Xenopus tropicalis: one gene and its partner. The protein of the gene in region 2 interacts with the protein of the main gene of each other region in a biochemical or structural test. Links are inferred from orthologs where the notes say so. Each region holds a gene or a part of one and is shown on either strand. Other genes may lie near its edges.

Evidence for each region.
Region 1: the proteins of calr (region 2) and mbl2 form a complex in vitro, tested with the Homo sapiens proteins (2 studies listed by BioGRID and IntAct). The link is inferred for Xenopus tropicalis from reciprocal best matches to the Homo sapiens genes CALR and MBL2.

What each region holds. Positions count from the first base shown.
Region 1 is NC_030683.2:50,573,863-50,578,119, reverse strand, and holds the start of mbl2 (pulmonary surfactant-associated protein D), read right to left. Parts: upstream 2,949-4,257; 5' UTR 2,567-2,948; coding exon 2,537-2,566; intron 756-2,536; coding exon 563-755; intron 1-562. UniProt on the Homo sapiens protein: Calcium-dependent lectin involved in innate immune defense. Binds mannose, fucose and N-acetylglucosamine on different microorganisms and activates the lectin complement pathway.
Region 2 is NC_030679.2:139,718,387-139,722,607, forward strand, and holds the start of calr (calreticulin precursor), read right to left. Parts: upstream 2,886-4,221; 5' UTR 2,852-2,885; coding exon 2,758-2,851; intron 96-2,757; coding exon 1-95. UniProt on the Homo sapiens protein: Calcium-binding chaperone that promotes folding, oligomeric assembly and quality control in the endoplasmic reticulum (ER) via the calreticulin/calnexin cycle.

The DNA of each region.
Region 1 (4,257 bases), on a different chromosome or scaffold from region 2:
ACTGGTTAATCTCATGCCAAGACCCTAATGACACAGAATGGCCAATCATTCATGAAAGATGGTAGAATGAACACTTTGGTCTCAAACATGGATTTTCCCTTGGTTTGAATGCAAGAAAAACCAGGTAGAATATATACAGGTATGAGATCTATTATGCAGAGAGTTTTTTCAGTAATTGGAATCATCATGCCTAATAAAAAACATTTAAACATTAAATAAACCTAGTTAGATTGTTTTGCCACCGATATGGATTTATGCAGCTTAGTTCCCCTCAAGTATAAGGTAATAAGGTACTGTTTTATCATTACAGAGAAAAAAAATAAGTATTTGCTTAAAACAGACTGCATGGGAAATGGCATTAAGAACAATTTGGATATTGGATTTCTGGATAAGAAATTCCATTTCTAAATATAGTTTCTATCCATGTATTCTCTCCTTAACCCCAACACATCAGTGTATAGTTAAAAAAAATACTTATCAACTACACATCATGAACGGTAATGCAATATAGTTTAGTGTATAGCCTACTGGTATTTATCCTTTAAAGGTTTTTACCCATTACCTTTATCTCCCTTTTCTCCTTTTGGGCCTTCTTTGCCATCTCTTCCATCCCTTCCAGGCAATCCAGTTGAGCTGTGTGCGCCACATGTAACGACTGCACAAGTACTGGTCATTTCTTCACATTTGCCATTATCTGCTTTTAGGCACACGCAAAGCATCAATAAACTCAGCACTTTTATCATATTCAACCTTACCTAAAGCAAAAAAAAGAGGTTTTATTTATAATGTATGTTGTTCAGACAGGACTTTTATTTGAATTTATAATTTGCTTTTTCTAATTTTGCTAAGTTTTCTGTTAGCTGTCTTGCATGGAGATCGCACCAACAGATATACTGTATGTTCTGTCTTTTTACATTTTAGCAAATGTAGTCATTTACTTTTCCTTTGTACCTGAAACATGCTATCTTTCCTCATTTTAAACATAACTAAACAATGTGAAGGAAAAGGGGGGAAACAATGTGTGGGATGGGGAAAAACAGCAGTTTATTTTGCGTAAGTAGAAGTTTGAATGTACCAAGGTACATTTTTGCAACCCAAGCTAACCCCAGCAACCCATCAAGCTAATCGATATATTCTATAAAATATTAACTATATGCCTTTGTAACCTTCCCTTCCCTTTTCTGTTAGTTTTGTTGTAAGCATTCTTCAGATAATTTAGAAAATCATTAGAAAGAGTGATAGATAGGGATAAGCAAAATTTTTCGGCAGGCATGGATTCCCGGCAAATTTTTGCATTTCGCCATTGACGAAAGCCACATTATGACAAAGAATTACATTTCACAAATTTTTTCACAGTTTTGCGAATTTTACTGCAAAGTGTAACGGGACAGATTCGCTCATTATCTATCACTAGGGATAGGTAGATTGAGATAAAATAGCAGAGAACTGTAATAGAATACCTATTCATATTTTATTTAAGTTTTTTAAACATTTAAGGCACTTATGATGAAACGCATTATCCAGAAAGCTCTGAATTACAGAAAAGTCATCTCCCAAAGACTCCATTTAAATCACCTAATTCAAAATCAACAAATTTCATTTTTCTTTTTAATATTAAAACAGTAGCTTTTGCTTGTCCCTGACTTGTTCCTAACTAAGATACAGGTATGGGATCTGTTATCCGGAAAAGCATTATCCAGAAAGCTCCAAAATATGGGAAGGCCATCTCTCATAGACTTCATTTTAACTGAATAATGAATATTTTTGATTTCACTTTTCTTTGTAATAATAAAACAGTACCTTGTACTGTTTATTCAATGTTGTGTTAAATTATTTCTTATTAGACAAAGTATTGTGATCCGAATTAAAGATAGATCCCTTTTCTAGAAAAGCTCAGGTTCTGAGCATTCTGGATAACAGGTCCTATACCTGTATAATGAATTCTTATTGGAGGCAAAACAATCCTACTAAGTTTATTTAATGCTTTAATGATTTTTAGCAGACAAAATGTAATGATCCAAATTACAGAAAGACCCCTTATCTGAAAAACCCGAGGTCCAGAGCATTTTGGATAACAGGTCCAATTCTGAGTAACAGTGCATATATATCTTTATGTATGTATTTAGTTAAGTTAAAAATAGATTCATTTTTTCACAGGTAATACTTATACTGCAAAGATCAAAGATAGATAATACTCTATAGTAAGTAATTCCCTTATAGCTGGAATAGTAACCATGCTTTAAACTTTAAATTGCTATAGAATTTACATCAAAAAAATATATTTTCTATACTAATTTTAATATGGTCCAATTAATGGAAGTTGCAGGAAATGGTTTTATTATAAATCAAAGCTTTTACATTGAATAAGCTAAAATAATAAATTAAATAAATACAACAAATAACAACTAAAAAACGAAAACACTAAAAAAAAGAATATTTGTACAGTAAAAAATGACAACAGATAAATTAATTCCTATCATTATTTATATGGTTAAATACACGTGACGATATATGGCACGCCAAGTATTGTACTTACCAAAATAGGCATAGGAAGGAAAAAAAACATTCCAGTAACACGGAGAAAGTTTTTCTGAATATTAAGTAAATCCCGAGCATACGTCTGCAGGTGTTTAGGTACGTTTCAACATGTAGTTTTGCTTTCTGTTTAAATGTACAGTAAATGTACAGTAAAATTGTAATGATAGGAGAAAACAATAATGTTATTTAACATTATAGAAAAACTCCAAAGGGATGATATTGCTTATTTATGCGTCCTTGGCAAGGTTTGGTTGGAGAGCCATAGTAGTATATTTCTTACATCTGGGCTAATGCTTAGTATTTTAGGTTATAGACACCTCTTTTTCTTGAGCCAGCAGTCTTAATTAAACATTTGCTAATAGAACCAAATGCTCATTTTACAAGTGTATATTTGTACTTACAAAAACAAACTCAGTTATGCAACTGAACTTTGGCCATCTGGCCATGCTTTCTTTCTTTTTCTCTACACTGCCTTGTTTTAATGTTACATATTATATACCACACAATAAGGTTACACACAGACTAATGGTTACACTGTAGCTATTTTAATATGCATTTTAGTACATCTTCAGCATATCTAACTAGACACCTCTTCTTTATATGTGGACAATGGTCATATGTGTGTTAAACACGATAAAAACACTGCACTTAACAGGGCCCTATACCTTCCATAGGAAAGATGGCAAGGACAGGACTCTATTGCAGCCTGCATTCCTCTGCCATGCCCTAGCTTTTGCATCTGAATCATGTACAAGTTAGAGGATGGGTAAGGAAAAGAGGGGGAGACCTACATATCTCTCCCCCACCTTCCCCTTCATGAGGGCAGCCACAGGTCTCCGTGCTCCAGAAAATGGGCAAAGAATATTGTAATACACTTTTATTTTTCAAATTCTCTGGAACCCATATTAATTCATGGTATCATTTATTTTTGAAGATATTAGATATTCATTGTCATGTTGTCTGTTCATTCAATTAATAACACTTGTGATTTTTACAAGATTTGCAGTTAGTTTTGTGTACAGAGTAAAAACCTTTACAAAACGTAGTGGGTAGTAGTAGTCGGTACAAACTACATAGCCATGACACATTGCACCTCAATGGAAGGGGGTCCTCCGTGGTAGGGGAAAGAATGGCTAAGAGGCTGGAGTGTTTAAGCTAGGCAAGGGGGGGCGTGAGCTAGAGGATTATGGGGAAGCTAGTATAGACCTGGGGGGCTTGGGGAAGGAGTGAGGGAGGCATACAGTATACCAGCTAGAGAGATTCCTCTGTTACAAAGAAAACAACCTAATAGTAACCTTAGATCTAACTAAGGGGAAAAGTAGTAACCTCTGCTGCATGCTGGCAATGCACGGAGCTTGTCAGGGAAATTATGAGAGCTGAAGTATATTGCATATACTGAAAATTATGTTATGACTGGTATCACTGAAACCTGATGAAAAATGTGATTGGGCTGTGAATTTACATGACTACACCCTTTTTAGGAGGTACAACGATATTGAAAAGGGTGGCGGAGGACAGTGTAAAGCCATAATTAAAGCCAAGTGCTAAAGAAATTACCAGGGACAGCAATAGGGAGGGTGGTCAATCCCTTTGGATAGAGATTTCAGCAGGGCTTAAGGTTACAAAGATATAAAAAAAATTGCAGCAAGGAGTTAAAGGAATGCAAAATTATTTTTTTTTAAAATATTGCTGTAAAAATAAAGGCCTGTTAGTCTGACA
Region 2 (4,221 bases):
CTTCTCTGCGTCTCCGTAGAACTTCCCGGCGCTTAGCTTGAACTTTCCATAGTCAGATTTGTGCTTGGATTCTACCCAGCGCTGCGACCACCCATCTGATAGAGAAGAACACGACAGGTTAAAGTTGATTCTTAGAATGGCTTACTGGGCTACTTCAATGTGCCACCCTACATACCCGAGCAGAAGGATGCCCAACTATCTGTGCCAGTTAGTACCATGCCCTCTTTCCATAGACGCATAGAGAGGCACAACCGGCGGCAGCCCATGCACTGCTAATGCATTCACTATATGGGCAATGGGAAAACCCCATCCTCAGTGGGCAGAGAGACACCCTACTCTGCTAATGCAGGGGCACCCTATATACATACATTGGGGGCACCCTACATACCTAGGCACGGGGGGGCACCCTACATACCTAGGCACGGGGCAGATCAAACTAGAACAGAAACTAGAAGCTACAATTACATACAATAAATATTCCCATAACCCCAGTTACAATTGGGTGCTACCATATTCAGCAGGGGCACTCCCCATAGGTGGGGGAATGGATCTCTGCCTAGCAAACATGGCATCTCCCACATCTTGTGCAGCTGTAATGCAAGCCGATGCCTAGTCACATAGTCCCAGACACAATGGCCACTCTATCCCCCCCCACAGCAGGCACCGGAGCATTACAAGCAATAAATACACACAATACTATCATTCTAACCAGGCTCAGGTAAGGATCCCTTATACTGCAGCATTCCCCATCACCTCCCCCCTCCACTTTCCCTTTCCTTATGTATAGATGGTAGGAGGGGCTAGAGCCGGCCATTAACCCCAGCTCCGCCTCCCCGCTGCTTCCAGAAGGTTCAGCAGGCACTCTCTGGGCTGCAGGGCCGGCTTTAATGATGCAAATACATGGGAAGGATTGGGGCAGAATACTATACACCACCATGTTCCGGCAGCTTCCATGTATGGGAAGGCCGACGTGACGGGCCCAGCTTGTATGAGCCTTACTGCATTACACAAAGCACCCACACCCACAACTCAGACCCGGGTGTCAGCGCAGGGCCACGCCCCCTCGGCCAGCTGTTCTGCCCCACAAATATTTGTACAGATGGCAGGGGATCCACTAGATTTGTTTGCAGGGGACACAGCCAAGGTTACAAACAGAACACAATTGGGATTTATTCAATGAGGAGGATCTGCAACATGCAGCATCCCCCCCCCCCTACTGAACTACACTTCCCAGCATCCCCCCCCCCTACTGAACTACACTTCCCAGCATCCCCCCCTACTGAACTACACTTCCCAGCATCCCCCCCTACTGAACTACACTTCCCAGCATCCCCCCTACTGAACTACACTTCCCAGCATCCCCCCCTACTGAACTACACTTCCCAGCATCCCCCCTACTGAACTACACTTCCCAGCATCCCCCCCTACTGAACTACACTTCCCAGCATCCCCCCCTACTGAACTACACTTCCCAGCATCCCCCCCTACTGAACTACACTTCCCAGCATCCCCCCCTACTGAACTACACTTCCCAGCATCCCCCCCTACTGAACTACACTTCCCAGCATCCCCCCCTACTGAACTACACTTCCCAGCATCCCCCCTACTGAACTACACTTCCCAGCATCCCCCCCTACTGAACTACACTTCCCAGCATCCCCCCCTACTGAACTACACTTCCCAGCATCCCCTCTATTGAACTACACTTCCCAGCATCCCCCCTACTAGCCCTACCTAAAGCCAAAAAGGTGCCCAGCCCATGTATAACTATGTAATCCAGCTTAATGCACATAATATAGCAATAATAATAACAAAATAAATATATATATATATATATATTTATATTATCTGGATCATGGTGAAGTCTGAATAGCAGCAGTTCCACTGCCAACACTATATAGGGATCTGTTACACCCTTTAGTAGCTAAAGCCCCTGGCCAGGAGAGGCTTCTGGGAGCTGTAGTGCAGCTACATAATACGTGAGCAAGAATGGGACAGCCAGCTGGCCTGAGCCAATGTAAAGGCATTACTGGCCAGGAGAGGCTTCTGGGAGTTGTAGTGCAGCTACATAATACATGAGCAAGTGTGGGACAGCCAGCTGGCCTGAGTCAATCTAAAGGCATTACTGGCCAGGAGAGGCTTCTGGGAGTTGTAGTGCAGCTACATAATACATGAGCAAGAATGGGACAGCCATCTGGCCTGAGCCAATGTAAAGGCATTACTAGCCAGGAGAGGCTTCTGGGAGTTGTAGTGCAGCTACATAATACATGAGCAAGAATGGGACAGCCATCTGGCCTGAGCCAATGTAAAGGCATTACTGGCCAGGAGAGGCTTCTGGGAGTTGTAGTGCAGCTACATAATACATGAGCAAGAATGGGACAGCCATCTGGCCTGAGCCAATGTAAAGGCATTACTGGCCAGGAGAGGCTTCTGGGAGTTGTAGTGCAGCTACATAATACATGAGGAAGAGTGGGACAGCAAGGTGGCCTGAGCCAATGTAAAGGCATTACTGGCCAATGAGGGGGGCTGTATTTGTATAACAGGGGGCAGGCATTATCACTACATAGGAGCTACAGCGCCTCAGTCACATACCCAGCCCCTCAGTGCTATCTATCCGTGCATCAATGGGCACTTGTATTAAGGGAAAGGCAAAAGAATGCGTTCTCTCTAGCTGAGCATGCCGGGAGCTGCAGTTAAACCCAGCCGTATTTTACTGTCCCTGCCTTCAAGCTCTAATGCCATGAAGTCGTTCCATACCTCCATCAGCGAACTCTTCCTTTAAGTAAACAGCAGGATCTGCGATGCACAGAGCCGCAAGCAGCGGCAGGATGAGGAAGGCAACGCGGGCCATGGTGATGCCCCTTCAAAAGACCTGTCAAGCACAGCGTCCAGGAACCACTAAGCACCTCGCAACCAGCGACAGCCGCTTATATATAGCTACGCCGCTCCCTCCCTCCGCCTGTCACTCCATTGGCTGCGGCCGCACCGGTGTCCGTTTCTGGTTGGGCCGGCCGCACTGCCATTCAGGGAACACAGATGGCTGCTTTTGATTGGTCCGGGCGATGACCAATGACCGTGCACCACGCAGGGGCCTCCTACTAGTCGTAAGATGGTTGGACGTCTCCTATAGAGACGGGGGTATGAGGGCTGGAACACGTGGTCTGCTGGATCACGTGATCTCCGGTTAGGTTGCACTAAATAATTAACCGGTAGTATTTTCATTTTTGTTGCATTCCTTCATGAATTAGTAGGAGCGCTCTGTATTAATGGGACGGCTCTTTGATTTTTTGTTTATTATTGAATGCCTTTGTATTGCTTGGCTGTAAGTACTACTACAACTGGGGGACTTTGCCCCTAACTGCCCCCACACAATTGCTGGCAGGGTCAGGGTTCTGACTGCACCATGGGATATTCAGTCTGCAAAGGGGGCAGAGATGTTTGGGTTGAATGAGTGGTCAGACCAAGGCACCTATGCAGTGTGAGTGCCAATGTTCCCATTGCCCAACTGTAGCTAAGATATTCAATCAGAGTCGGTGCGATTTTGTATATGTTTGGGTGGGGGAGATAACAATATGTGGCCCCCATCTTTCCCCTGGCTCAGCTCCTTTCTCTAATTCCCCCTATGCCCAGCCTTGTACTGTCCCAACCTGAATTGCCCAAATTCTAAGCAATAAACTTTGGACCCAATGTAAACAGATTGTCAGCCAGGCATTGCCTTAACTCCCCATACACACATACACTTACCTGACCCCTCCTGCAAGCAATATCCAACATTACTGTTACAGGGCTAGTTCCCCTTTACATTAAAGTGATAGTGATATTCCTTTTGGTACTTTAGCTCTTTGTTCAGGAGCTCTCCACTTTTGTTAATCCAGCAGCTCTCCGGTTGCTAAGCTCCAGTGTACCCTTGCAACCAGGCAAACTCCTAAAATGTGTTTTCATGGCAGTTTATTTGCTACCAGCAGTGCTGTGTTTGGCATCTTTTTGTTGACTAAACAAAGCCCAACCCCCCATCCTGTCTAAAAAGGCGATTGTGGTGTGCTCAGTGCCCTCAAGAATTCTCCCCTAAGTTGTTTCCCAATCACTGCAGTCATTTCTGATCACTGACCCTGGGGAAGAAGCCATCAGATCAGCCTTCAGACTACATGAACTGTATGTTTATTTTCTTTTTGGGTCATTGTAACTATGTAACTATTTCTATTTCCTGGGGATACTGGCCCT